4 linked regions of the Elephas maximus indicus genome follow. The protein of the gene in region 2 interacts with the protein of the main gene of each other region in a pairwise test. Links are inferred from orthologs where the notes say so. Each region holds a gene or a part of one and is shown on either strand. Other genes may lie near its edges. The genes, in order: WAS, ITSN2, SYNJ2 and SOS1.

Region 1 (7,681 bases), on a different chromosome or scaffold from region 2:
GCCGACAGAGAGAGAAGGCCTACCCCTACAAGCTGGCACCCTGAATTCTGACTTACAGCCTACTAGACTGTAAGAGAATAAATTTCACTTTGTTAAAACCATCCACTTGTGGTATTTCTGTTGCAGCAGCACTAGATAACTAAGCCAGACTCCAACTCTACATTAACTCCTTGGTGTCAAGTCAATTCCAACTCCTAGGTGGAAGCAAACTCCCGCAGAGCGGTGGGTGAATTTGAACCACCCACCTTTCAGTTAAAAAAAAATTTTTTTTTTTTCAGTTAGCAGCTGAATACTCAACCACTGCACCACCAGATCTCCTTTCCAAATCTACATCACCCACTGCTATTAAGGCCATTCCGACTCATAGTAACCCTATAGGACAAAGGAGAACTGCCCCATCGGGTTTCCAAGGCTGTAATCATTACAGAAGGAGACAGGCACATCTTTCTCCCACAAGAGTAGCTGGTGGGTTCAAACCACCGACCTTCACTTTAGCAGCTGAGTGTTTAACCACTGCACCATGAGGGCTCCTTTCCAAATCTACATTATCCAAAAAACCAAACACACTGCTGTCGAGTCCATTCCAACTCATACAGACCCTATAGAACAGAGTTGAACTCCCTCATAGAGTTTCCAAGGAGCGGCTAGTGGATTCCAACTGCCAACCTTTTGGTTAGCAGCTGAGCTCTTAACCACTGCGCCACCAGGACTCCCTAAAAGGAAAAAAAAATCTACATTAGGAGAACTTAAATCTCTGCTACATTTGCTGATTGTTCTTGTTGTTGTTTTAATTAACATTTGAAAGTTACGTATTTCCTGAAGTCCTGATGCAAGTTGGAACACGATGAACCTTGAAAACATTATGCTGAGTGAAATAAGTCAGTCACAAAAGGACAAATATTCTATGATCTGACTTATATGAAATACCTAGAATAGGCAAATGCATGAGACCAAAGTTCATTAGTGGTTACCTGGGGCAGGAAGGAGAGGGGAGAAGGGAGTCCTTGCTTAGGGGGCACTGAGCTGCTGTTAAGGGGACAGAAAAGTTTGGAAACACATAGTGGTGACGGTTACACATGATGAGTGTAATTAATGTCACTGAATTGTACATGTAAAATAATGTTGAAATGACAAAGCTTTTGATATATATATGTACTTACCACAATTTTAAAAACGTGGGGGACTTAACTCAGCACCTAAAAAAACGTTTTATATTTCCTGTTATTTCTAAGTAGCAGACAGGTTTAAAATTTATATTTTTCTCTAAATAAACAACCTGAAGCAGATTTTGTTATTTTAGTCCCTAATAGGATTAGTTTCCCCACACTGGAATACTGTGATTTATTAATAATTTTCATATCATTTTTTCATATTATATATTATTGAATTACTCCGTTGACCTACATTAATAATTTGGAGCTAGTTTTTTTTTTTTTTTCTCCTCTTAAATGTGTCCCCATTAGCTCTTGCTTTTCTGCACTGGATGTCAGTATTTGGTGAGGTGATGACCTCAAAGATAAATTGCTCTCCTGGACCTTCAAATAGATCAGAAAAAAACCCAAACACTTAATCCAGCTTTTCTGATTGTTCTCAGCAGGAGAGTTGGTATAACACAAGTCCATCGACTGCACTGGAAGCAGAAGTTCTAATTTACTTAATAATGTAGTGAACACCCACGAACCCCCAAGCACCAGGTTGTGTTCAATAATGTACAGCCACCTGATGCTCTCCCATGATCTACTCCTGACAAGCCCCCTACCCGCAGTGGGCACTAGATCCGGAATCACTTCCTGCTTATATCTTGTGCTTAAGCTTTTTTTACTTTGAGAGGATCTTACCACAAGATCACGGTCTCCATGCTCAAGCCCTGTGGGGGGTGTCTGCTCCTCACCATGCGACTGAGTCCATGGAGGAGACGTGGACATGGGTTGGGTACAACTGCTGTTCTCTAGGACTGACATAAGGGTCAAGATGGCAAAATTTACGTCACCCCGCCATCCTTCTCCCCTCACCTTTCTGCGCCTCATGGCCCTCCACACCCCTGACTGAGGGGCGCTTCTTGAGCACAGGCCCAACCCAAGGAAACAACAGCTCCCAACCCTCAGCTCCAACGCCCCCTTTTCATAAGAACCATTTTGGAAGGCCTCGTTTACCAGACTGAGTGACATTCATGGATGTTACAAGTCTTGGCTTTGTGAGGCTGTCCCCCAGCATCTCAGCCGCTGCCCACTCAATGCCAGTACCTCCATCATTATGACAGCCAAAATTGCCCCCCAGGAATTCCCAGAACACACCCGAGGGCGGAAAGGAACAGGACCCGTCTTGTTCACGGAGGTGTCCCCAGCTCCTCACACAAGACCCTGCGTGCAGTAGAGGCTTAATCAATGTTTGCTGAATCAGTAATAACTGTACAGTGTAGATATCCATGCTGTAGCTATCCAGACTTGCCACCCTCTCCCCACAAGGCTCCCTGTCCTTTCTTCACTGATAGCCTTTATAATCTGGTATCCCCTTCTGCCCCGGGAAAAAAACAAACCACACGTCAAGTCGACTCCAACTCATGGACACCCCGAGTGCTTCAGAGTAGAACTGTGCTCCACAGAGCTTTCTTGGATGTGATCTTACAGAATCGGATTGCCAGGCCTTTCTTCTGTGGCACCACTGGGTGGATTTGAACCGCCGACCTTCCAGGTAGTAGCCGAGAGCAAACCATCTGCACCACCCAGGGACCTTGCCCGGGGAAAGGGAGAAGAAAAACAACTCGAGGTGTCTCTACGCTGTTCACCGAAGCTATGGTCAAATAGGTTCTTTAGGGGCCCTCAAGCCACAAGCCGAAGGGAAAATTTCCAGTCCTGGTGGGGTGACGTGATTACAAGGTGTGCACAGAAAAGCAGAGACACCTGTGGTTCTCCCATCCATAGTGAAGATAATAACAGTGGTTAGGGTTGTTGTGGCGACTAAATGAGATAATTCATGTAAAGTCACTGGGACAGGGTTTGACACGTAATTATACATGATTGTTTTTGGGTTTTTAAAAAAATTATCCTGGTGAAAATGATTAGCTTTAATCAGTGTTTAAATGCCAAGTAGATCGCAGTACATCCGAACAATTAAAACAAACCATAATAATTAAAACCAGGAAGCTATGTAAATACAGTATTCTCTTTGAATAAGCTTTATAATTCCAATCTTGTATAATCTTTTGTTGTTGTTGTTATGAAATAGTTGGGTAACTTCGATAAATGAACTATCAACCGTGCGGCCTAGCATTCACACCCTCCCCTATCAGACTTTCAAGTCAGAGGCCCAAAACACATGACCACCTCTCCACTGCTCTTTCTTCACTTTTCTCAGAGGGCTTTGAGATGCTCCTGGAGCCCACCCTGCCAACCTCAGAAGTCCCACCCACCGCGTTTCCCGCCCTACTCCCTCCACCTGCGCAGGAAACGCTGTGAGTCAGCCCCCCTCTTTCCCTCCCTCTAGGTTTGTGCTGCTAACCTTGGACCAGCCAGGGGTCCCTTCTAGTCCCTACACTGTCCACGCCCTTAAAATCACCATCAACTCTCCCTGGATGGATGCTTCCTTCCTCCTTGCACCCCAATCTGTGACCCCCATAAGCGCCCACACCCCTGTCTGTGTGACCCCAAGGAGTACTAACACTGCAGCCTGGAATGGACCACAACGGGTGTGGGGAGGGACGACGCAGAAATGGAACAGTCCGCGGAGGATCGTACCACCGGGGAGGCGGTGGCCATCCTGTTACATACCATTTTATTTGTAGGGGAGAACTACTAAAGGGAGGGCCTGGATGGCGGGAAGGGTTAACGGCTGGACGACTATGCAGCCCAGAGGTTGGGGTTCGAACCCACCCAGAGGCGCGTCGGAAGACAGGCCTGGCCTCTGCTTCGGAAAGGTCACAAGTTTGGAAACCCTGTGCAGCAGTTCTACTCTGCACACGTGGGGTCGCCGTGCGTTAGGAATCGATCCCCGGCCCCGGAATCTGCCCAAGCTCCTAAGGGATAGGGGAATGTCGCGATCTTGCTCATCCGAAGACTCCCTTCCCGTCCTCCCGACTCCCACCCACCTTGGGGGACCTCACCCTGCAGCCGCACCCTCAGCCTCTCTAACGTCCGCCATCTTAATCTCTCTCCCCCAAACCCCACGCCGTCGAGTCGATTCCGACTCATAGGAGCGCCTGGTGGCTTCAAACTGCTGACCTTTTGGTTAGCAGCCGTAGCTCTTAACCGCTACGCCACCAGGGTAACGCCCTCTCGAGCCCTTCATTCCCAGCCAGTTCTCAATGCACCAAGTAGGCAATTGGCTCATGGTGGGGAGGGGGAAATCGAGGACCGCCGTGAGCGCCGATTGGCCGGAAACCGAAGTCTCCTCCTTGCTACGCTTTGAAGCTTCCGGGTTCTCCGAGGGAAAACAGCCCCGTCGCCATTCTGCGCGCCGGGCTCCTATTGGCCGCTGGTGTGGCACATGCGCGGTGGATGCCAGTCCAGTGTATTTGGGTGCGCTGAGGTGGGGCCTTGAGGATTTAGGCTGGAGAGTTCTAATACCGCCGCTGAGTGTCAGTATGTTCACCTGTAAAAGGTGCTGAGGATGGTGCTTACTGTTGGGGTTTAGTGAGATCACGCGCCAGGGTGTGGCGCTCGGTGTGCTGGGCTATTCGATCTTAACCTCTGTGACAAACCCAGTAGGACAAACTTAACCGCCGCCCAGTCGTTCTCGCATTCACTTATTCTCCAGTTTACTCAAAACGAAAAGTGTTGCTTTGAGTTTAGGTTTTAGGAAAACTCCCAGAGGTTACTTTAATGAAGTTAAGTTCTGCCGCAAGGGGACAGGCACAGGGAGGTGTCTGGCTCTCCTGACACCTTAACCACGCAGTTTACAACAGTTAAAAGCCCTAGTGACAAAGTGTGTCTGAGAGAATAAACACTTGCCCCATTTTTTTTTTTTTTTTTTTTTTTTTGCTCACAGTGATGGTTTGGGAGCGTGAGGCCGGCTGTAATTGACAGGTGTTACTTATACACACGGTTAGTGCTCTAGCGAGTTACCTATTGTATTAGTTTCCTAGGGTGGTTGTAAGAAAGTACCACAAAACGGGGTGGCTTATTAGAACTTTATTCTCATAGAGCTCGGTGGCTGGGAGTCCAAATTCAGAGTGTTGGCTGTGTTGATTCCTTCTGAGGGCTCTGGGGGAGAATCTGTTCCATGCCTTTCCTGGTTTCTGGCGGCTTCTGGTAATCCTTGGCTTCCCTCGGCTTACAACAGCTCTGCTGTCTAGAATCTCTGCTTCTGTTGTCACATGGCCCTCTTCCCTCTGTGTCTCTTTCTTTTATGAGGATACCACTCAGATTGGATTATGAACCCACCCTACCCTAGTATGACATCTTCAAAGACCCTATTTCCAAACAAGGTCACATTCACAGGGACTTCAGCACATCTTTCTGGGGGACACGTTTCAATCCATAACACCTATTTTTAATTTTAAAATGTTACGTAGATATATATAAAGTTGAATATATGTGTATAGTACCTGCATTAAAAGTAGAAATAGATAAATATTCACAAGGATAAAGACTTTCTGAAGCATGGGTGCTGAAGAGAGGCACTTGTTGATTAGCTATTGCCTGGGAGTGTGGGTCTCTCACTGATTGGCTGACTTTCAGGACTGGAGGGGCTTAGCACTGATTGGCTGACTTCAGAAGCATGACTACTGGAGTGAGGCACTTGCTGATTGGCTGTTGTCTAGAAGCACGGGGCTGTCCCTGATTGGCTGACTTTCTTGACTAGGGAGTTTTTCATTGATTGTCTGGCTAGGAGGATTGAGGTTACTCCTGATTGGCTGACTTCAGAAGCATGGCTACTAGAGTGAAGCACTGCTGATTGGCTGGCTTTCAGGACTGGAGGGGTTTATCACTGATTGGCTGAGTTTCAGAAGCATGGCTACTGGAGTGACGTACTGCTGATTGGCTGCTGTCTAGAGGCATGGGATCGGCACTGATTGGCCGACTTTCAGGAGAGGGTAATCACTGAATGAATTGCTAACTTTCAAAAGTCTAGTTGCTGAGTGAGGCTGTCGTTTATCGCCTGATTTTCAGAGCATTTGTACTAACCTGAAGATATCTCTAATTATAGGTGGTTATTTGTTCACAACTTGGACCCTTGGCCACAAGAATAGTCTTTTCCTTTTTTCAGTACGAAAAACAAGTGCTTTTAATTCTCAGCGCCCCTTTTGGTCTTCCCTCAGCCAAACCTGCAGGAGAGATCATAAGGGATTATCCAGATCTTTATTTGTGAAGGCATGATTTTCAGTAGCGTTGCCGTTTACGTGATTTACGCGTCGATTAGTGTGGAGGAAAAACGCTCCAACTGCCAGATTTTTGCAATTTTCCGAAAAAACTGTATACAGGATCTGTAGACCACCCTGACAAAGTCAATACAGGACATATAACAAAATAGTTAAATGCATAGGATGTCTGGCAACCATACCTTGGACCTAGATGCCACAAAAAATGTATTTCACAGAAAACTGATCCACTACAGTATAAAGTGAACACCAACAAAACCGACTGCCAGCTGAAGAAATAGAGCAGGTAGGTGTTGGCAAACTTTTTCTTTAAAGGGCCAGATAGTTAATATTTTAGGCTTTGCAAGCCATATGGCCTCTGTCGCAACTAGTCAACTTTGTCATTGTCTGTGAAAGCTGCCACAGCCAATACATAAATGAATGAAGGTGGCTGTGTTCCAATAAAGCTTTATTCATAGATACTGAAATTTGTATTTTATAATTTTCACGTGTCACAAAATATTCTTTTTAAATCCTTTTTCAACCATTTAAAAATGTCAAAATTATTCTCTGCTTGTGAGGGTACAGAAGCAGGCAGCAGGCTAGACTTGGCCCCTGAAATAGAGCATCTAGAGGAGAACAGAAGCTCTCAATGAATCCCTTCCCCAGCACATCATCCTCTCTTCCCCCAGAGAGAACCACCTCCCTGATGCTTGTGGTCATAATTTCCTTACTTTTCTTAACCACTGACATCTGTGAACCTAGACAACAGTTTAGATTTGCCTGTTTAGAACTGTACATAAATGGGATCATGCAGTGTGTATTTTTTGTGTCTTGCTTTTTTTCCACAACATTATGTCTATGAGATGTATATATGTCGTGTGTAGCTGTACTCCATTGTTACATATTCTACCATTTGTTTATCCATTCTCATAATGGGCATTAACAAGTGGAATTTCTGGGTTACAGAGGATGCCTATTTTCAAATTTTCCTAAATAATTCCAAATGGTTTTCCAGAGTGGTTGCATCATTTCACATTCCCTTCAGTGGTGAAATTACCTTAACATTTTTTTTTAACCAATCCAATATTACATGACAATGCCTCATTTGGTTTTAATTTGCTTTTCTCTGATGAATAATGAGGTTGAACATTTTTCACATGTTTAGTGGCCATTTGGAGATCCTCTTCTGCAATGTGCGCTGACGGCAACGGATTTTTTAAAAATTCCGTTAGTGGCCAAACTTTAAAAAGTTAGAGATTCTCTACTAAAATTCAGATATCTGGCTTCTGTTGAGATTTAGAAGATCTGGCCACCTATACAGCAACTGTGGGCTGAAGCTTCATAGTGGCTTAGAATCAGGCAGGCTCCAGATGGAATCTCACC
Region 2 (7,598 bases):
CCATCAGCCTGGTACCAGAAGAACTAGATGGTGCCTGGCTACCACTAATGATTGCCCTGACAAGGAACACAACAGAGAGTCCCTGACGGAGTAGAAGAAAATTGGGGTGCAGAACTCAAATTCCAGTAAAAAGACCAGACTTGATAGTCTGACTGAGACTGGACGAACCTCAGAAGACATGGACCCTGGACTCTCTGTCAACCTAGAACTAAAACTATTCCTGAAGCCAACTCTTCAGACAAAGAAAACACATGATACTCATGAAGAGTGTGCTTCTAAGTTCAAGTAGATACATAAGACTAAGTGGGTAGCTCCTGTCCAGAGGCGAGATGAGAAGGCAGAAGGGGACAGGAGCTGGTTGAATGGACCGAGAAATCCAGGGTAGAAAGGAGGAATGTACTGTTACATTACAGGGATTGCAACTAGGGTCACATAAATTTTTTATGAGAAACTAACTTGAGCCGTAAACTTTCACCTAAAGCACAATTAAAAAAAAAAAAAAAAAGAATGGCCATATAAAAGCAATCTATCACACCACACTGAGGCACAGCATAGTCAAATTATTGAAAGCCAAAGTTAAAGAGCAAATCTTGAAAGCAGCAAGAGAAAAATAACATATTACATAAGGGGAACAGTAACCTAATCGATAGCTAACTTCTCAACAGAAACTATGGAGGCCAGAGAGAATGCAACAACCTCTTTAAAACGCTGAAAGAGAAAAAACAAAACAAAAAACCCATTGTCAACCCAGAATATTGCATCTAGTGAAAATATGATTCAAGAACGAAGGCAAAACAACATTTTCAGATAAAATACAACTAAGAAAACTCATGACCAGTAAGCTACAAGAAACAGCAAAGGAAGTTCTTCAGGCTGAAGGAAAATAACGCCAGGTGGAAACGAGAATTCTTGGAAAAGAACAAAAAGCACTAAAAGTAATAACTATTTGGGTCAATCAAAAGACCATATTTGTTGCCCTTTTCCTCTTAATTTCTTTATACATTATTTAAATTTCTTAAAACTAGAAAATTATTTAACCTCAGGGATGCTGGAAGATTGGAATTATTTGTGCTATATATTCTCACTTCTTAGCACTGTGGGTTCTGAGGGTAAACTGGTTAGGGAGGAAGTGAATGATGGGATCCTTGAAAACTAACAGAAGGGGAGACTGATAGAACATAGGATAGTATAGTTGGAGAAGGGGAACACAGTGGGGAAGGATAATGGATTGAGATAAAACGCCTCCATGATAAAAGTTAGGTTATCAGGAACAAGCCTACGAATCTATCTTAGCTTGTGGCAAAAAAAACAAAAAACTAAACCCCAGTGCCATCGAGTCAATTCTGACCCATATCGATTCTATAGGACAGAGTAGAACTGCCCCATAGAGTTTCCAAGGAGCACCTGGTGTATTCGAACTGCTGACCCTTTGGTTAGCAGCCGTAACACTTAACCACTATGCCACCAGGGTTTCCAGACCTGGGAAAATGACCCTCCTAACCTTTTCACTGTACACTAATCACTAATCTTCTTTAGCCTTGACAGGTACATCTACACATCTTATGTAAGACTTAGTGTATCAGTTGGTGCTTGAGGTGAACAAGGGGTCGGGGATGGGATTTGGGAAATACCAAAGGGAAGAATTCAGATACAGTTCCAAGATCTGCTCTATGCGGTGAAGGGGAAGTCAAGGAACTGGGATGGTGGATGCATCACCTACGTGAATCACGAATACTAAAAGGCACTAAGGATGATGGAAGGCACTGGGTGGAGAGGACTTCTAGGTGCTGAAATTCTTGGTGAATGTATAGGAGCACCCAGGAGGTTGGTAAACCATATGGATGAGGACAGGTAGAGGATTGTGTAACTGGTGTTGTAGCCTCAAAGAAGAAGGGACTTTTATATGGAAGTGGAAAAATCATGATCCATGTCTTAGTTATCCAGTGCTGTTATAACAGAAATACCACAAGTGGGTGGCTTTAACAAACAAATTTATTTTCTCACAGTTTAGTAGGCTGAAAGTTCTCTGCTCTCATTTGCTTGTTTAATCTCTTTTATACCTCAAGGAGATTGACTCAAGATACACCCTATACTAATCCTGTTTTATTAACAACACAACTCATTCTCAAATGGGATTACTGTATAACCACAGGCATAGAGGTTAGGATTTACAACACATATTTTGGGGGGACACAATTCAATCTATCACAATCTGGAAGCTGCAAAACGAGCATGAAGAATGTTTTTTTGGCTACTGTGCTTTTCCTCCTATATTCCATTTCTTACCTTGACTAATAGAACTATCATCACCCAGGCCTGCCCAGAAACCTGAAAATCCTTACTTCTTTTTTTCCCTAATTACTTACAAATTCTTAATATTGTCCAATACACCCCTGAAGTTCTTGGGAGGAAGATATGTGTGAGACAGTATAGAAGAGTAAAGGTCTTACATTTGGGGCTGTGATGGAATAGGATACGATGGACACATTGAGCTCAAAATTCTGAATGGAATCCTGGGATATAGTTGTTTTAGTGCTTAAGATACTGTACCCAACACTCCCAATGCCGTTGAGTCGATTCCGACTCATAGCGACCCTATAGGCCAGAGTAGAACTGCCCCATAGAGTTTCCAAGGAGCGCCTGTATAAAACTGGGAGCCTACAGTATCTTGTACTGTAGGCTCCCAGTTTTATACAGGATTCTGATTTCTATCAGAGGTTGTTACCTTTTTGGTCTCCTTTAGGGAGATTTTTTTAATGCTTTCTCTTTAATTCTTTATAAACGCGTCCTACTGAGGATTTAACACCTCTTTTTTTTCTTTTTTTTTTTCAGCAAGAAAGGAGACTCAGGTCGAATTGCACCAGGTTCAGAACCCAGAAACACAATTGACATTGATCAAATGATTGAAGAAAATAGAAATTGGCTATCAGCCTATCAGGAATGAAAAATAGGTTTCATCTCACAGGCCAACTCTAGCAATTTAGTAGTGTCTCTCTGGAGCACTACGTTGAAGAAGATTCTGAGGCTTACACTCTTGAGAATGGGCTTTGAAAGAGAGTAACACAATTAATTCCTGCTGTCTGCCTTGGGACTTAGACCATGTACTCAAGAGTGCTATGCCTACCCCGGGTGGCTCGTTTGCAGAAGGGAGACAAACTTGTCTCCAGCAAGTAAGGGACCTCATAGATTGATACAAAGAAGTTACATCTCTCTGTGTCACTGAAACTCAGGACCTGCCTGTCAGGTCTTGGTCAGTTCCTAATAGAAGAGTTGGGAAAACACTAAGTGTGAGATTGGGAAAAGCCTGTTTATCATCATTAATATTTGTTAAGTTCCTCACATGAATCAGTTGGCCAGTTCAAATAGGTCTGAGCTTTGGAGCCATATCTCTCAAGCCAACACTGCTACCTGTCCCAATTGGTAAGGAATGAAAGAAAGCCAAGGGATCAGTTTGATCTACACAGATTTCTCATGTACCAAGTCAAGGGGGTATGAGTTTAGTACTCTGGACCAGCCCCAACCCTGCTTCTAAAAGCCAAAAAGCAAGACAAAACAAAAAACTGGGTCATAAATCCCCATTTTTTTATGCCCCCCAAAACCACTGACTCCCTCTCTTACCCTTTACCGATAGAAAGCCTTTCCCTTGAAGAAGTGCTTGGTACATGGTGGTGTCTTGAGTAGATGTCTGGTCTTTTGTGAGGAGACTAGGAGCTTGGAAGTGAGATAAAAGAAATTCTGAGTTTGACCTGTCAGTCAGCTAAGGGCTGGGGAACAATGTTTACCTTCTGCAGGCTTGCAGGCAGTGGAGTTTGGGGTGAGAGACTCTTCTAAAGGTAAGCGTATGGGGGGGGGGAGTTGCTCTCCTGTGTGCATGGAGGCAGGGAATGTTCCTCGTTTTTTTGTGTGTGTTCTGGAGGAGGGTGAGGAACGCTGAATGGATTGCCCTTGGGTATCTAAGGTCCCTGAGGAGGGTCAGAGAGGCCTGTACTAGACCTTCGAACAAGGGTGAGAACCACCTCCCTTCCACTCCTCAGCCTCCCATTCCTAGGGAATTCGTGCTCCCAGATCAGTGAAGGAACGCTTCGGTAAGTGAGAAGGTCGCAGGCAGAGCCCTCTGTGGGCCTGGCCCTCCGCTTGGTACCTTCCAAACCCCGGGGTCTGCTATGGCAGGAAGCGTACCACTCAACCTCAGCATGTCACCTCGGGGAGGAGGAGCCAGGTGGGTCGTCGCAGCTCTAGGAGGGGCTGCCAGGTCGGGGCTTCGGGGCTTCCCCGAGGGGAGAGCAGAGCACTCCCGGATCAAGCCCGCGGGGTCCGGTGCGCCGGGGCCCTGGGGTGAGAAGCCGCTCCCGGGCCAATCTCGGGCTCCCGAGGGTGGGGGAGTTGGTGCCCTGCGGCGGGCGGGCACTCAGCTGCCCGGCCCGTCGCCTACCTCCCCGCCCCCCGGCTTCCTGCGGAGGCCGCGGCCGCCATGTTGTTGTGGGGCTGAGGCGGCGCTGGCGGAGCCCGAGCGGCCGTGACAGGCTGCGCAACAGGTTCGCTGTCGGCGGCCTGCTGAGGCACCGGGCGGCGGCGGCGGCGGCCAAGTAAGGTCTCCTGGCTTCCTCCTGCGCCCGCGCTGCTGGTGCCGAGGAGCGCAGGGTCGCGCCGTGACGTGCGGGAGGCGCGGCGGGGGCGCCAGGTAGGTAGAGCCACTCGCCGAGGCTGCTGCAGGGCGCGGGGCCGGTGCGGGCGCCGTCGCACCCGCCGCCCGGGAGGCTCAGCGGGCTGGGCTGGGAGGTCGCTGCCCGCCCCTGACGAAAGGGACGGGTCTGTAGAAACCCGAGCGGCCACCGAGCTAGGCCCCTCGCGGATTTAGCCGCGCCGGGCGGAAACCTCCGGCCCGGGGTTCCTGCCCCCGCAGTGGGGCGAGGGCGGACGCCGAGATGGCCAGGGCCAGGCTACTCCTTTCCTGGCGGCCGAGCCCCGGTCCTCGGCCGCGCTCTCGCCTGGCAGGTGGCGGACGCCGCCGAGGGTCGGAAGCGGCGTGGTCCCCTCCCTTTCGGGGTGCAGGCAGAGGAGAACCCGTAAGGGCACGCGCACGCTTCCTTGGGGACCCATTTTATTTTCGCGGAGTTGGTTTTCCTTCTTGGGAATGGTTGGTGTGGAATGTCAGGTGAACCGCATCCCGGTGCGTCAGAGTAGCCCGAGTCACGAGAGGACAGTGGGCGATGCTTGGCGTCCACCGCTCGCTTAAACCCAGTTGAGAAATGTTAAAATTTGACTTTGGGGTTGTTGACTTCCAGGGTATACAGGAAGCACGGAGAGATGGAATCTCTTAGGCCGGAGTAAAGTTTATTGCTTTTTGAAGAAAATAAAAAAGACGCCTGCATGTGGGTAGTGATTGGGGAAACCGAAGCTGAAACTGCAGATAGCTTTACATACTGTGGAAAGGTGTTTGTGTTTGAATATATTCATAACGTGCTTTATCGTTGAATGATTACGGCTGGCAAATATGTTTCATTTGAAACTTGCATTGACCTCTGAATTAGGAATATATTTGATGGAGCCAACAGCTTTATGATGGAAATTTAGGCTAACACAATGATTGTTGCTTTGCTAAATGCTTCTAGTTTGTTTTAGTAAAAACACTTGATTACCCAGAAATAGACAAGGTGTGACTTGAAATTTTGTGTTGTTTCTTATGCTTCTTAAGCCTCTCAAGAAAATTTATTGCCTCCCTTCCTGTACTGGTTTGCTATATTGTTAATCAGCGATAAAATTTAAAAGAAACCTAGAAGCATTACATAAAACCTTTACACACATTGGTAATGATGTTTTAAAGATAGCAAGTCAGATGTGCTTACCTTTAGGTTTCTTTGGCTGTGCCTATGATTCCCTTGTAATTTCAAAAGTAAATAAAGTACAAGTAGTTTTTAGAAGCGTAATTTAAAAACAAACAGTATTTCATGTTTTTCAAGGATTTGAAAAAAAAAAAAGATGTGTATTGCTGGTGTAACGTTAGTAAGCAGCTGAGAAGCTTGTAGTTTTTTCTCCCTTCAAGTACAGGTAGTTATTCCTTTTGCTCACCTTTATAAAAAAAAAAATTATAGTGAAGATAAACTAGTCAGAGAAAACTTGACCCTTACTTGTCGGTGTCGAGGCTAAAATCCAGATCTCTACTGAATATGCGGGACTGTGTTTAACACATCCTAGGGATTGGAATTTATATATTTTTTAATTTGCATTATCACAAATTTACTGCCTCTATACATCCATCGGAAACCCTAATGGCGCAGTGGTTAAGAGTTTGGCTGCTAACCAAAAGGTCGGCAGTTCAAATCCACCAGGTGCTCCTTGGAAACCCTATGTGGTAGTTCTGCTCTGTTCTTTAGGGCCGCTGTGAGTCAGAATCGACTCCTCAGCAATGGGTTTGCTTTGGGTTTTATACATCCATCACCCAAATTCAGCAATATCCAAGATTTTCTTTATCCATGCTCTTTTTTTCTTTCTTGTTTTTATTTTTTAGTGATTTCACCCTACGTACTTAATATACCTCAAAAAAAAAAAAGTGGAAAGTTTCTTACACAACCTCAAGGATTTTTAGTTTTAATCTTGTTAATGTGTTGAGCTTCACAAATTTCCATCTTTCTAGCAAGATAAAAGAACATTCATCAGCCAACTCCTTCAATTATACCTTCTTCAGTATTATAGTTACCATGGTTGTCCTTTATTGAGCACTTACTATGTGCTAGACCCTATGCTCAATGCCTTATATAATCATTTAAGGCTCACAAAGACCTTGAGAGTAGTTATAAGGCTTCCCATTAAATAGATAAAGGAAATGAAGTACCTGGAGGTTAACTGGCTACTTCAGGTTTCTCAGGTAGTAAGTACAGGAGCCAAGTTTAAAACCAAGGTCCTTCTAATAACCTTAAGGCTTATGGCCTTATGGTGATAATCATTTTGGTTAAAAAAAAAAAAAAGTTATATTGGCATTCAGTAAATGTTTGTTCAGTGAATGAATGAAAGTACATATTAATCCATTGAAGATAAGTAATAGACTATTTATAGACTATATTTAATTGTAAAGCTTTTATATTAAAAAGCTCTGCAAATGGTTCAGAATTACATTACTAAAAATGTGATATATTTATTACCATGTAACAATGCTTTTGCTTGTTTCATCTTTTTCTATTTTGGTCTTTTCAGTACCTAATTGATTAAAAAAATTGTGGAAAAACTTTTTGAAGAAAGGCTAAAAAAAGGTAGACTTTTTTGTGTGCTCATTATTAAGGGCAAAGTTCCAAGTGTGAAGTAGAAAACTAAGAATGCTTAGAATTCTGTAGCTGAAAATGCGTCAGATATGATGTATTTTCTACTTGAGTTCATTTTTGATTTTGTACTATCCTGTAACTGCAGAGACTAATGTTAGAGTCCCATTGGGTAAAGTGTACATGTACGTATCCTTGAGAAGGAGGAACTGAACTGGTCTTAAAGGATATGAAGGCATAGAGGAAGAAGGGGGAGGGTGGAGGAAACTGAACAGAAATAGGACTGTGACTATATCAAGAAGTAATCTTATTTTTCAGAACTCAAAGAAGGCAGCATATTTCATT
Region 3 (7,108 bases), on a different chromosome or scaffold from region 2:
TGCAAAGGCCCTGAGGCCGAGGCCCTGGGGCGTAGCAGGTGAGCCAAACCAAGCACCCAGCAGGGAAACCACAGATGCTGTGGGGCCGTGGGGTCCACAGCAAAGACTTCGGCTTCTACCGAGGGGATATGCTGTGACCTGATCAGAATGACTGCTTTAACAAGGTACTCGAGCAGCTTGAGGGGGTGTCTTAGTTCCCTGGTGAGGCTGTATCAGAAGTTCCACAGGTGGGTAGCTATAGCGAACAGAAGTTTATTTTCTCACAGTTCAGGAGGCTGGAAGTCTGAATTCAGGGTACTAGCTCTAGAGGAAGGCTTTCTCTCTTTGTCAGCTTGGGGGGTGGGAATTCCTTGTCTCTTTCAGCTTCTGCAGTCCTGGCTTTCCTTGATTTCTTGGCCATCTTCATGTGGCATCTGTCTTCCTCCATTTGTCCTTCCTTGTCTCTGTGTTTATATTGTTCCTTGTAACTCAGAAGCGATTAGGTTTAGGATATAGCCTACGCTGATATGGCCTCAACATAACAAAGAAAACCCTATTCCCAACCGGGATCACATCCACAGGTACAGGGTTGGACTCCAACATATTTTGCCGGGGGGGGGGGGACACAATTCAATCCCTAACAGGGGGCGAGGGAGGAAGAAGGGTGACTAGACCCAGGCTAATGGTTATGCTTGGCCCAGGCTGGTGACATGGGTGCAGGGTGCTGTGGTGACCCCAGGCTCCTCTTCAGCTGCTGGGGATGTCACTCTTGGCTGAAGGGACCTGCCTTGCCCGAGACTATCCCCCCTCGGAGGCAACTGGAATCCAATGACTAATGGACAAACGGAGTGGGTTCATTTGGGATATGTCTGAGGGCCACCCACACCAGAGCTCCTGAGGGATCAGCCGGGCCTCTGTTTCAGCTACATTGAAAGGAAGTTACTTGTTCATCTGCTGAACGTGCTGGTGCCCCATGACCCGACTCACACGACAAAGACGGTATGCTCATCACCACGGCACCTCCTCTGCTGCTGTGGAAACCAGAGGGCAGAGGCCCGGGCCCAGCAGGCTCTCGGCTCCTTCAGGCAGTTCCCAGGTAACAGCTACTACATCTCATGGAGTCTAAGATGTACATTTGAACATTGCCGAAATCAGGGCCTATCTTCCAATCGGTGGCTTGCTATAGTTTCATTAAAAAAAAAAAAATATATATATATATAGTTTCATTAGCAGTGTTTTTTTTTTCAGTGGTACATAAAGTAGTGGTTCACCTTAGATTGATGGCACAGTAGATTCTAGAAGCTGTAAAGCTCAGGTGCTGGTCTCTGCCCGTAGAAAAAATTCTAAAATATGTATAGCACTCATGTGTAGAGTTTTAAATTATGTGCTGCCAGGGAAGGTGGGAAAGAGGGGGAGAGAAAAAAATAACTGAAAGACTTGGTCCCCCCGTCAATGACCTTACTGTGTACCATACAAGTGGAGCCCTGGTGGCACCGTGGTTAAGCATTAAGGCTGCCATCCAAAAGGTCAGCAGTTCAAATCCACCAGCTGCTCCTTGGAAACTTTATGGGGGCAGGTCTACTCTGTTCTATACAGTCACTATGAGTTAGCATCAGCTCAATGGTAAGGGTTTTTTTTTTTTTAATATATATATAAAAAAAAAATTGAAGTTCCCAGCGTACGACGTATTTGAATTACAATGAACTTACGATGTCCCTTTTTTTACATCTTGTCTTTAGTAACATGTAGTACATATAGTGTCGCAGTGCCTAATTCATTATCATTCTCAGGTGTTCACTCACTGTCATTCAGTTTTATGATTTACTGTCCAAAACGCTGTGTTTTGAAATGAAAACAAACAAAAGAGGTGTTCAACTTATGACAGAGTTGTTGGAACAGAGCCCCATTGTAAAACGGGGACTACCTGTAATTTGTCAAACAAGGCTATTTGTAAAAAAGAGATATAAAAACATTTTTCAAATAATCTGTGAGCAAGTGCCAACTGAAGTGTGAATGTGAGTGCATTCTGACACAATTAACTGAAACCTCAAGTATTTCAGGAAGGCGTCCTGGAAGAAGCGATCTTTGGGTTTAAAAGGAAAGGAAAAGCGAGTGTACCAGTTTCCTAGAGCTGCTGAAACAAAACACCATAAGCTGGAAAGCTCGTAAGAACAGAAATTTATTGTCTCACAGCTCTGAGGCAAAAAGCCCAAATCAGGTTATTCCAAAACCAAACCAAACCCATTGCCACTGAGTCGATTTCAACTCAACGACCCCACAGGACAGAGTAGAACTGCTCCACAAGGTTTCCAAGGAGCACCTGGTAGATTCAAACTGCCGACCTGGCTAGCACCCCCAGGGCTCCGAATCAGGGTGTTAGCCATGCTGAATCCCTTTGAGGGCTCTGAGGAAGAGTCTGTTCCATGCCTCTCTCCTAGCTTCCGGTAGTCCCCTGCAACCCACGGCGTTCCTTGACTTGCAGCTGTTTCTCCCTTTGTCATCACATGGCTGTTCTTCCTACGTGTTTCTTCTCCTCTCTCATAAGGACAGCAGTCATACAGGATTAGGACTCGCCCTACGCTGGTATGGCCTTGTGATAATATTTTCTGGTAACGTTTTCAAAGACTATTTCCAAACAAGGTCACATTCACAGGTTAGGATTTCAACATTATCTTTCTGGAAGACACAATTCAATCCATAGCAGTGGGCCAGCAGCTTCTTCAATGGGCACACTTTTTCCTGAGGTAGTAATATCTCCATTTTACAGATACAGACACTGTTCAGACAGCTATGGGATATCCACCACAGGGAGCTGAATTTGTGAAGGAAAGAGCAGGAGGCTCCAGAGTGATTCAAATCTCAGCCCCCATTGTCCACCTCACATCTACTTTATTCCCCAAATCATCACTCGAGAGGTTTCCCACAAATAGCAGAACCCTGGTCTGGCCATTCCTGAATGTCTGTAAGATATCACAGTGTCCACTCGGCGCTCGGGCACTGCCTCCTTCTGGAACAACTCCAGGAGTAAAGGCTTGGTCCACAGTCTTCAGTTCGAACAAGATGGGGCAGGGAGAGAGGACCAGGTTGGTTTGGGGGACTGATGGAGACACCCCCATGGAAGTCTCTGGGATCATCTGGACTTACTCATCAGAAGAGAAAGAAATGAAACTTCCAAACCTCGGTCCACCTTCCCCCAGCTTGCAGAAAACAGACAGAGCAGAGGTCTGGGCTAGCACTCAGTGCCCACAGGGAAAGTGAGGTGCAGACAAGTTAAGGTCAAGGTCCCACAGTGAGTAGCAGACCATGGTCTGGAGAACATGGGCCTATTCTGTCCCTTCCATGACAACGTCCTGTTGGTCCCTAACAGCTCCACCTGGCATGGACAATGGACTGCAAATCGTCATTTATAGAAAGTGGTAAAGGCAACACTGAACACTCTGTGCCAGGCGCTTACTGAGGCTTTACCAAATTAATTTTTTAGCTGGTGCAACTGGTTTGTGCTTGATTACTAACCTAAAGGTTGGAGGTTCCAACGTACCTGGCACTGCTGCTGAAGAAAGGCCTGGCAATCTGTTGTTGCTAGTTGCCCTCACATCAATTCCAACTCATGGCGACCCTATGCGCCTCAGAGTAGTACCGCTCCATAGGGTTTTCAAGGCTGTGACCTTTCCGAGGCACCTCTGGCTGAGTCTGAGCCGCTAACCTTTCAGTTAGTGGTCCAGCGTTTAACCATTTGCGCCAAGACGAGACTCCTTTAAGATTGCAGCCAAGAAAACATTATGGGGCACGGTTCTATTCTGTAACACATGGGGTCGCCACGAGTCCGAATCTACTCTGAGGCAATGGGTTTCTCCTCACCGCTACCCTATTACTCCCTCCCACTGTACAGACAGAGAGACTGAGGCACAGAGCGTTGTACTGACTTGCTCAGGGTGGCAGCGGTGAACCGCAGAGGGGGCGCAGCGCCTGGCCGCAGTGGGGAGGCCTTGGCCGCCTCCCAGTGGCTCTCAGCCTCGCAGGCCCGCCGGCCTGCTGTCCTTATAAGGCCCCGGACGTCCTTTCAGGATTACACAGGGCACCAGGCACCCCCGGCCTTCATCCTCCTCCGCAGAGAAGAATGCCTGGCATCTTCCTATCAGCTGTTCGCCCCGGGAAGCCCTCTTCCCACTGGGGCGCAGGATCAGCCCCTACGCGGCCTCCCCTCTGGGGAACCCCCTGGCCCGGGCCGCGCCCTCTCACCTGCCCCGCGGGCGGAGGAAGAGGAGGAGGTGGAGGAGGCTGGGAAGAGGAGGAGGCCGGGGAGGAGCCTGCGCCCGGCGGGAGCGCCGCACAAAGTGAAACTCCTGGAAGTGGCGGCGGGGAGCGCGGGGACCGACGCGGCCCCGGCCCCGGATCCCGGCCCCGGCCATGTCCCTGAGCAAGGGGCTGCGGCTGCTCGCGCGGCTGGAGCCCGCGGGGGAGAGCAGCGTCCTGCTGGAGGCGCGCGGCCGCGGCGACTGCCTGCTCTTCGAGGCCGGCACGGTGGCCACGCTCGGTGAGTGCGGCGCCTGCCCCGGTGCCCTCGTCTCCGAGCCCCGGTCCCCTGCTCTCCGGGCCCGGGTCCCTTCCTCTCCTGACCCCGGTCCCCTCCTCACCGGGCCCGGGTCCTGCCCCTTCCTCTCCTGGCCCCGGTCCCCTCCTCTCCGGCCCAGGGGCGGCCCCCAGAGCGGAGACCCCGCATTTGCTGAAACCGAGCAAGGGCACCTCCCGTCCCCGGGACTTGGGGGTCGCGCGTGGGGGGCGGCCTTTCTGAGTGGCATGGCGAGGGGACGGAGGTCGGGGACACTCCCGGGCCAGGCTCTCGGTCCGCGCCCGCCCGCCCGCCGGCCTGTGCGCGGAGGGTCGAGTTCTCCGAGCGCCGGGCTCCGGCGATTTAGGGCGCGCGCCCTCTCGGGGCGCGTTACACATTCATGACGGTCCCAGTGCGCCGGTCGCTCCCCTTCTGTTGCACCGGCTGGTGAGGAAGCCAGGGATTGCCGTTTGGTTTGTGGGTCTGGCTTAAGGATCAAAGCCCTATAACGGAGAGACGACCCCCAAACTGCAGCTAGCGCCGCCGCTTGAAGTGTTAGTACAGCAGAGTAGAGAACGTGGATTTTGACACACTACCTGGTGACTACATTTCTGCCGGGAATATTTGAAGGGAGGCACAGAAGTCCTGAGAGGGGCGGTGTGCTCCGAGGACTTTAGAGACATAGTCTCATTTAATTTTCACAATTAGAAAAGAGATATTATTATCCTGGTATTGCAGATGAGTAAACTGAGGCCTGAAGAGAAACTTTCTTGCCAGGGCGACACAGCTCCTGTCTGAGCATTTCTGTAAGGTCACACAGTGCGCGACTTCTTGTATCACTACGTCCCCTCCCTTGTTTTGTTGCCAGCATTCATGACCAGGGTCTAGGTAACACCAAAGTGAGCAAAAGCGGGTAGGATTGTTAGGATTTTAAACAGCAACACAGGACAGTGGGCTTAGGGTGGTCTCCAGGTCCACCATCTTTCTGTGTATGAAGCTGAACAGAGCACAGAGCAGAGTCACCTGGAATGGAGGTGCCGGGCAGGTGCAGCGGACGCTCACTTGCTCAGGTCTTTAGAAATGTGTCTTTTTTTCTGCATTCGTATCCATTGCCTCCTCAGTGAGGATGGATGCCTTGGAAGCACCATCTCTCCTATTTCCACTTCCCTGTTCCTTCCGTGAGGGAGACCCAGGTTCGATTCCCGTCAACCAGTGCACCTCAAATGCAGCTACCACCTGTCAGTCAGTGGAAGCTTGCCAATTGCTAGAATGCCGATTAGCTTTCAGTGGCGCTTCCAGACTAAGACCAGGAAGAAAGACCTGGCAATCTACTTCTGAAATATCAGGCCGTGAAAACCCTATGGATCACAGTGCTTTGATCCCTTTGTGCGTGGGGTCGCCATGAGTTGGGGCTGACTTGATGGCAGCTAATGATGACAGCAGTCACTTCATTAGCATATAATTTTCTGGCTTGTTTTTAGTCACTTGACTACTGAAACAATGTCTCCAGTATTCTCAGTATCACAAATGTGCAGTGAATTGTGGATTAAGTCATTATCCGATTATTCCAATCTGTGCCCTGTCCTGAGAAGTCCAAATTTGGTCATTTGGTAAGGCCTTGAAAGAAACCCACAAAAATTTCCATTCCATTTTAGACGTCTACTTCATAGAACGTTTATCAGAACTGAGATTGATTTCATGGTACGAAAATACCCCTTCATCAAAGATATGAAAATGTCCTTCGGTTGGATCACAGTAAAGTAAGGTTCATAGACATTTAAGCCACCAGGGGAAAAAGATTTTTTTTTCCCCAAAGCGAAGATTTTAAAATGATTAATGAAAGTAAAATAGTGCATATTTTCCATTAAGAAATGAAGTTTGTGCCGAGATGCATTTGTATTACATTGGTGGTTGATTCCAGGACAGAGGGTATAAGGAAATGGGTGGAGGTGTCCTGCCGGCACAGTGGTTAAAGCTCTCAGCTGCTAACAGAAAGGTCGGTGGTTCAAAACCACCGTGGTTCCGCAGGAGAAAGATGTGGCAGTCAGCTTCTTTAAAGATTCACAGCTTGGGAAACCCTGTGGGGCAGTCCTGTGGTGTCCTGTAGGGTTGCTATGAGTAGGCACTGGTTGGGCTCTTTTTCCTACAGCGTGCACTCCACATCTGTCACTTAACCTAGCATTCATTTATCAGGAGACCTGGGGTTGAATAACAAAAGGGAAAAAAATGAGTTGCCTTTGAGTCACCTCTGACTCACGGTGATGCTGTGTGTGTCATAGCTGTGCTCCATGGGGTTTTCAAAGACTGATTTTTTGGAAGTAGGTAGCCAGCCCTTTCTTACGAGCCACCTCTGGGTGTGTGGACTGACCACACCACCCAGAGACACTGGCTGGGCTGAATACTTAACTTTTGAAGTCTGGTTTTCTTAAATGAAATAAAACTCTTTTTACAAAGCAGCTGTAGCGTTTGCTGGCATTGCTGCCCCAGAGGAGGACTGTAAGAACCTTCTATGACGAGAAAGTTGTTTCAACTTTTTAAATACCCGAAACAGGTCACGTCTGTACAGTGTGGCTCAGGACC
Region 4 (7,636 bases), on a different chromosome or scaffold from region 2:
TGGAAGTCATACGCATCATTTCTATATAATTCTATAGAAATTCTATATAATCCTATACCAGGGCATGAACACAAGGAGGTGAGGCTCATCTTGGAGGTTGCATACTACAATAAATAACACACAATTTAGTTTTACTTGTTTTTTGCACTTCATATAATGAATCATATAGTGTATAGTTTTCTGTGTCTTGCTCAGTGTTATGTTTTTAAGATTCATCTATGTTGATTGGCATAGCTGTAGTTCATTCATTTCTGAAGCTTTATAGTATGCCACTATTTATCTGTTTTACTGATGCAGTTACAAACACTGCCTCAAGGAACTTTTTTCAAATGCGAAAGGGTTTCTCTGGGATATATATGTTATAGGAATATTCCCTACATAGATTATATGGAGGGAGCCCTGGTGGCACAGTGGTTAAAGCACTAGGCTGCTAACTGAAAGTTTGGCTCTTTCACAAGAGAACTAACTACTCTGAGCTCTTTGCTATTCCATATACAAAATAGAATCCTTTTATCAAGTTCCATGACAAAGCCTATTGGAAATTTGATTAAAATTATACTGGGTTGGGATGTGATCAGTTTGAAAAGCCATTATAGCTTGAATCAACTGGAAAGAGACTTTTGCAAAAACTAACCAAGCAGCAGTTGCTGTTGAGTTGACTCGGCATGTGTGTTAGAGTAGAACTGTGTTTCTCAGAGTTTTTAAGGGCTGATTTTTTGGAAGTAGATTGCCAGGCCTTTCTGATGGGGCATCTTTGGGTGGACTAGAACCTCCAACCTTTCGATTAGCTGCCCTGCCCATTAACAGTTTGTACCACTATATGGATCCTGTAAAAAGGAGAAGTGCAAGGAATAGTCCAATCTATCTTGGAGAAACCAAAAACCAAACCAAACCGGTTTCCCTGACAGTACTTACTCTGCTCCCTGCCTTCTTCTCTTTGAGACTGTATGTATTTAATTAAAGGTACCTAAAAAAAATTTCTTTTTTTTTTTTTAAGAGTAGGTATCCACCCAATGGTTTTATCAGGCACTGTTTACTCCGGTGCATTTTTGTTGAGGAGAGAAACACTATTTGGAGAAGTGGAATTCAAAGCAGGGATTCGGGAGAATGATATGATGAAAAGGGAGGATATGCTACCGGAGGAGAGAGGACAGTTACTTTGAAGCAATGCCTGTTGGGCTCTGGAGTTTAAGGGGAGTTCTAAGGGGGGCTGGGAAAGGCTTCAGAGAAAAGGTGGGGTTTGAGTCAGAGGCGCAACACCCTGGGTAAGAGTTCCACTGTGAGCATGTCTGGGGGCTGGGGTTGGGCTGTGGCAAGTAGGGTTGGAGAAAAATGGGTATGGACGTTCCAGGCACACGGAACAGCATGTGTAGTAAACAAAGAAGTGATGGGCTTGCAGAAGGCAATAGGTAGTCCATTTTGAGTAGGAAATACAGCTGGAAAGATTAGTGTTCCGATTGTGTAAGACCATGAATGCCAGCCTTAGGACTTTGCACTTTATCCTGGGACGCCGATGAAGGCTCTTGAACAGGAGAATAGAGGGATACGAAGTGTGCTTCAGGAAGGCAATTGTGGCCGCAGCCAGTCAGGGAACAGTCTGGCGCTATTGTGGCTAGCGGCGCGGGGAAAAGCACGGAGTCCTGACCGTCCACCTGCAGGGGGCGCACCACGGGGCTGAACGCCCTCCCCGCCCCCTTTCTCGCCGCCCGAGCTCTGACGCGCCGAGCTTGAAACCCGCGCTCGAAACTTAGCTAGCCCGCCTGGACGCGATTCCCTCGGGCCTCGGCTAAGTCCGCCTGGACACGCCCCTGTACGTCACGTCCGCCCTGGGGCGGGGCTGGCTCGGTCTGAGTAGAAGCACGAGCAGAAGCCTTTGCGCCTGCGCCATGCAGACCCAATGGGCGGGTAGTGATGAGGGGGACAGGGGCTTCACGACCTTTTTCGCACGCTTCGTGGTCCGGTTCGACTATCTTCTCTCGCTTCGTCTCCATAGGTGTTTTGTCCCCTGAGTGTTCGGCATCATTCCCCCGAGGACTCACAGCTGAGAAGCGCCCAGTCTCTTCCCTGCAAGTTCCCTCCAGCTGCTTGCCCTCATCCTGCGGCCAATATTTTCAAGCTAATGAGAAGCTGAGCATGCCCAGCCCAGGCTGTAATCCATGTTTTTAGGGCTTGTTTCCTTCTGCAGTCAAATTAGGAACTGGGGAATTGGAGGGACCTCGGACGTCAAGTCCAACTTCCAAACCCTCCCCGACATCCCGCGTGAGTGAATGTAGTTTTTACCTGCACACCTCCCAAGATCGCACGTTCCCTGTGGACAACTCTGTGTAGTCTTCCTTCCTGAAAGTTCCCTTCGGGCGAGTTCAGCTCTTTCAGGAATATTGAGTGCCTACTGTGTATTGTGTACCAGACACCGTAGGTCTTTGGGATACAATGATGATCATAAGATTGCTGATTTCTTGGAATGTACATTCTAGTGGAGGAGACCAACAACTAAAAATAGAGGCTGTGGTTAAGTGCTAGCCAGAAAATAAACGGGGCTATGGTAGAAAAACACAGGCGGGAAATAGAGTGATCAAAGACGGCTCTTGGAGATGGTGAGGTTTAGAACCAGCCAAGTGTACAGCTAGGAGCAGAGTGAGCTCCAGGCAGAGGGAAGAACAAAGCCCTTGAGGCTGGAAAGGGAGTTTTCTAGGAACGGACAGAAGGCCAGTGTGACTGCAGTGTGGTGAGCCAAGGTTGGGAATGGCGAGAAAAGGTTGAAAAGGTACATAGGAGCCAGATGCACAGCTCTGTGGGCCATGGTAAGAAGCTTAAAATGTATTAAAAAGCAACGGGAAGTCAAGGAAGAGTTGTGGCAAAGGTGAGGTCTTAGTTCAATTACCAAGAACCACACAAACTATTTTTTCCAATCACAGTCCTTTAGATATTTGAAGAGACCCTTTTTCATGCCCCCAACTCCTTCCAAGGTATGGTTTCTCTACTCCTTACCCAGAGGACTTATAAATAGAGCTTAAAATCTTATTCTGAACCCTTCGATAGTGAAAAAAAATTTTATGTAAATCATGTGTGTACATTTTAAAAGGGAAGGTCTTAAGACTTTTATCCTGTAAAGATTAATAACCAGTGTTTAAACCTTTCTCATCAATGTCAACTTCTCTAATAGTTTCCTCATCTGTGAAGTGAAAACAATAGGGTTGCTATGAGGATTAAATGAGATGATGCTCAAAAAGTTTTGAATGATAAACTAGGAGGTGCCTGCCATAGAGTGCTGCTGTTAGAAACAAACACCTACAGCCCTGGGATGGAGGAACAATTTACAGATCACTCTCCTCCAGGATCCCACAAACATTCACTAAGTGCCTAAAAAAAAAAAAAAAAGTGCCTATTCTGTGTAAAACCCCTGGTAGGAAAGATCTGCCTTCCAGGAGTTATTATCTGTTCTTATCTAGTCGAAAGAGCCAGGAAAGGTACGAAACAGGACAGACTAAGCTTCGTGAGAGAGGTGTAAGTACTCTGGGATTTGGGAGCTTCAGGAGAGGTCTCAACTAGTCTCCACTGGAGGACTTCACATTTGAAGTGGGCTAGAGGGATGAACACATGTGATGTAAGAACACGGACACGCAGAAAATCAACACTACACGTACACATTTGGGCCTTGGTGCCTGGAAACGCTGCAGTCACTTTTACTAGCCCACTAGTATTGAGCAGTAGGTTCTGTGAGAAGGGAACTATCTTTCGTCCAAGCTCTGGACAGTCCTTATCCAAATGTTCGGGAACAAGGTACACACACAAAAGCACCTCTTTCCGAAACGAAAGGCCCAGGGGCTCCGAGAGAAGTGTGCGATCCCTCGCGACCGATGCACACAATGGGGGCCGCTTCCCGGAGCTCGCCACCGCCCGTCTCTCCCCGCCCCCTCTCCCGGCCCCGCTCCGTCGGGGTCCGGCTTCTCCGGGCTCCTTCGCCCCTCCCCTGCAGCCCCGGGGCGCAGCCACAGCCCGGCCGGGCGCCCCCTCCCCGCGAGCTTCGCCTCCTTCCCGGGTGAGCCAGAAAACCCGGAGCGAGCCACTCCGGCCCGGCGGCGCATGCTCAGTAGCCAGCAGGTTCAGTTCGCAAGTAGGAAGCTCCAGCGCTACACCGGCGTCGGCGGCGGCCGCGGCGGCACCTCAGGCGGCCGGATTGCCCGCAACGACCTCGGGCCCTTCCCCTTCCCCGCGAGACCCCGGCCCCGCTCCGCCCCGCGCGGAGCTTCGCGCGTTTCGGGGTCCCTGCTGCGCGGAGCGAGCGCCGCTCCCCGAGCGCCCCTCCACACGCCCTCCCCCCGCCGCCAGCTCCGCCGCGGGGCCAGGCCGGGCCCGGGAGCGCAGCCCCGGCGGACGGGCGCGCGGCGGCCGCAGCGGAGGGCAGCCCGGGGCGGCGCCGGCGGGCCGGGGAGGGGTGGGGGCCCGGCCCCGGGGCGGTGGTGCGGGATGCCGCCGCCGCCGCCTCCGGGCTGCGTTCGCTCTTGGCGGCTGGTGCCCGTGTCGGGTGGGTGGCCGGGCGCGGGCCTCGCCCCCCAGGCCCCTCGCCAGGGCTAGCCCGGCAGCGCGGCGCCCCGAGGGGGCCGGGCCGTCCGGCGGGGCCGCGGCCCTGCTCAGCGCAGCGAGCTCGCCCTCTCGCGGCTCCTCGGCCCGGCCTCCGCCGCCCCCTCCCCGCCCAGAGGCGCCCCGGGGGCACCATGCAGGCGCAGCAGCTGCCGTACGAGTTTTTCAGCGAAGAGAACGCGCCCAAGTGGCGGGGGCTGCTGGTGCCAGCGCTGAAGAAGGTGAGGAGCGCGCGGGACCCCGCTTCCCGACTGCAGCCCCGGCGAGGGCGCCGGGGCCGGCCAAGGGCTGGGGAGGCGGGGCGCGCAGGGCCGTCTTTCTTCCCGGCCTCACCGAAGGGACGGCACGCTGAGAGCTTCCCCACATTGGGCTGGCTCTCGGTGTTGACATTACCCGGGCTGTGGGAAGGCCGCAGGAAGCCAGGGAGAGTTGTCCGAATAATCCAACCACTGAGCGAGGAATGCCCTGCCCCTTGATTCGGAGACACCAGTTGGAGGAGCCCGGGTTTTTAGTGGAGGTCAAAGCAGGCCACTTTTCCGCCTTCGTTTTACCAGGAGCTGCTGTCAGCCTCCGTTGTAGGCGTCCAGCCTGCTCATTTTAGTGGGCTCGAAGAGTGCTCTGGCCAGAATGCTTGCCCTAAGTAATTGCAGAGCTCTCCTGCCAGTAGCAAGAGAAACACGGCTTGCTCTGCTCGACCTCAGTAATCACTCCCCATTCCTCCAGATTCCTCCACTCTTCCGAGTAACAGGGGTGGGTGCAGATGCCATTATTTTAAGGGTTTTGGTTGTTGTTGTTTTCTGAGAGCCTGAAAATCTGAATCTGTCGTTTGGTTTGTTGATTACAAACCTTTTTAACCTTTGTATGTTTCTTCAGGTTTGCCACATTGTTATCTCAGGTTCTACACCGTGTTCTGTGCTTTTAAATGTTTCAGTATAATTAGGAAATGTTGCTACATTGTAGTAGCTTCGAAAAGCAACGTTGTGACTTAATATACACCTCAGAACATCAGAGACTGATGTGTTGAATGACTTTAAAAACAACTACCAGAGTATTTTTTTGTTTTCTTCTTTTCTCTTACCTTTTCTGTAAGTATAGAGATCGCTTTACTCTTCTTGAATCCCGGTTTCTTGTTGCTCAAAGAATGTTTCATGTTATCTTGTTAAAATATATTTTAACAATTGAGATTATCGTGTACTTTTTGTGCAAAATATTTATACTTTTGAAAAATGTTTCTTAAAAGGTGTCTGTTATTTGTCAAAGGCCGGCAACTTTTACTTTCCCTTTTGCCTTGTTCTTCCCCTCCCCCTCTTTGGTTTTTACTGTGGAAACTAGTTAGTTAGCAGAATATCCTCAAAATTTCAGGTTTAAGTTACTGTCTTTTTTTCTCAACAATTTTACAAATACTGTTGACATGTTGTTTTTTAAGAAAACCAGAGAGACAACGTATGGCTTATATACCTTATTCCTCCTTAGAAATCCCATCAGGCTTTCCATCTGTTTGCTTTTGCTTTATTTGCAGGCTTGGCTTTTTAGCTTGTAATAGATGGGGGGGGGGGTGGTAGGAGGTCTCTGTGATGCTAGAAGCAGGTATTCTGACAGGGAGGTAGACAAATTGCTTGAAAACATAAAAAGAACTCAAACATTATCAGTTTGGGGCCATTTTGTTCAGAATCAGTTAACTCCTAATTTGAGGTAACTGCCACGATAACCTATCAGTTAAGGGTCCTGTGAAGTAGGGGAAAGAGTGGTGTAGGAGTTGGCAGAGCTGGTCTAACTCTGCCATGCTGGTGGCCATTGCTGAATTCTGTCCATGGAAGCATTTTGTTGGCTGGCACAATATTGTTTTGTTATTTTTAAATGTAATTTGCTGCCAGCATTTAAAAACGGGAGATATTATGTGCAATTTGAATTTTCAACATTTCTTGAAGAATAGGAAGATCTTTTTGTATTGAACTGACATTCAGGTAAGGCTGGAGCTGAGTAAATGGCTGATCCCTTTGAGCAAGGCATGTATCTCCAGTTTACCACAATCCCCACTGGTCAACTTTGCTTATTACTGAAACCAGCATTCACTTTAAGCAGAGAGATGACTATCTGATGGCAGTAGAAGTGATGGTGAGGAGGCAAAGGCGAAAGCGTACACATCAACCTGATATGTAATGTTCTTCCAATCCTCATTCATATACTCATTATTGATTCTAAGCCACCTAAGATTGAAAATATATTTCATATCTGGATATGCTCTAGGGAGCTGAACACCTGAATTTTCACCTGCCTGCTGAACATTTCACCTGGGTATCTCCACATCTTGAACTCTTCCATCAGACTTATTGAACTGTTTGTGTCCAACTGTTGTGTTCTCTTACCTGAGGCTGTTTATACTTGCTGTTTCCTTCACCTGGGCCGCCCTTCTTTGCCTGGCCTAACTCTACTCCTTCAGAACTCATTCTCCATGTCAGAGTTTTTCTTGAATCTACAGGGCTGAATTGGATAGTCCTCCTTTGTTTTCTTTTAGCACTCCAGGCTAGTACTTAACAGTGAATTTTAAGTTCTTATTTACTTGTCTAAGGAGCTCTAGTGGTGCAAAGGTTCTGCCACTAAACAACAGATTGGCAACTTCATGGTAGAAAGGCCTGGTGATCTACTTCCCTTAAGATTACAGCCTAGAAAACCCTGTGGGGCAGTTGGCGGTCACTGTGAGTCAATCATCTCGCTGGGCACCTAACAACATTTATTTGTCCCCCACCTTTGCTACTAGATTGGATGCTCCTTGAGAACACAGATGATGTCTTACTTTTCATTTTGTCTCCCATGCATATTCAGACACCTCGTAGGCACTCGTATTATTTGAATGAATGGGTGTGGGAATACGTATATTTCTTTCACGTCCCTTAAACACAGTATTTCCCAAACTAAAACCATCAACTCTCTTCCTTCCACCTAACATTTTCTAGTATTTCTTCTTGATTTATGAAGTCTCTGGGTGGCACAACTGGTTAAGCGCTTGGCTACTAACTTAAAGGTTGGTAGTTCGAATCCACCCACAGGCACCTTG

The links.
Region 1: the proteins of ITSN2 (region 2) and WAS interact in a two-hybrid assay, tested with the Homo sapiens proteins (2 studies listed by BioGRID). The link is inferred for Elephas maximus indicus from reciprocal best matches to the Homo sapiens genes ITSN2 and WAS.
Region 3: the proteins of ITSN2 (region 2) and SYNJ2 interact in a two-hybrid assay, tested with the Homo sapiens proteins (2 studies listed by BioGRID and IntAct). The link is inferred for Elephas maximus indicus from reciprocal best matches to the Homo sapiens genes ITSN2 and SYNJ2.
Region 4: the proteins of ITSN2 (region 2) and SOS1 interact in a two-hybrid assay, tested with the Homo sapiens proteins (2 studies listed by BioGRID and IntAct). The link is inferred for Elephas maximus indicus from reciprocal best matches to the Homo sapiens genes ITSN2 and SOS1.

Annotation. Positions count from the first base shown.
Region 1 is NC_064846.1:122,887,729-122,895,409, reverse strand, and holds the start of WAS (actin nucleation-promoting factor WAS), read right to left. Parts: upstream 3,010-7,681; 5' UTR 1,839-3,009; intron 1-1,838. Other genes in the region: GLOD5 (glyoxalase domain-containing protein 5), read left to right, coding at 3,366-3,451. UniProt on the Homo sapiens protein: Effector protein for Rho-type GTPases that regulates actin filament reorganization via its interaction with the Arp2/3 complex. Important for efficient actin polymerization. Possible regulator of lymphocyte and platelet function.
Region 2 is NC_064830.1:41,935,905-41,943,502, reverse strand, and holds the start of ITSN2 (intersectin-2), read left to right. Parts: upstream 1-4,591; 5' UTR 4,592-4,681; intron 4,682-7,598.
Region 3 is NC_064819.1:230,244,393-230,251,500, forward strand, and holds the start of SYNJ2 (synaptojanin-2), read left to right. Parts: upstream 1-4,099; 5' UTR 4,100-4,386; coding exon 4,387-4,513; intron 4,514-7,108. UniProt on the Homo sapiens protein: Inositol 5-phosphatase which may be involved in distinct membrane trafficking and signal transduction pathways. May mediate the inhibitory effect of Rac1 on endocytosis.
Region 4 is NC_064844.1:24,621,230-24,628,865, forward strand, and holds the start of SOS1 (son of sevenless homolog 1), read left to right. Parts: upstream 1-4,617; 5' UTR 4,618-4,715; coding exon 4,716-4,802; intron 4,803-7,636.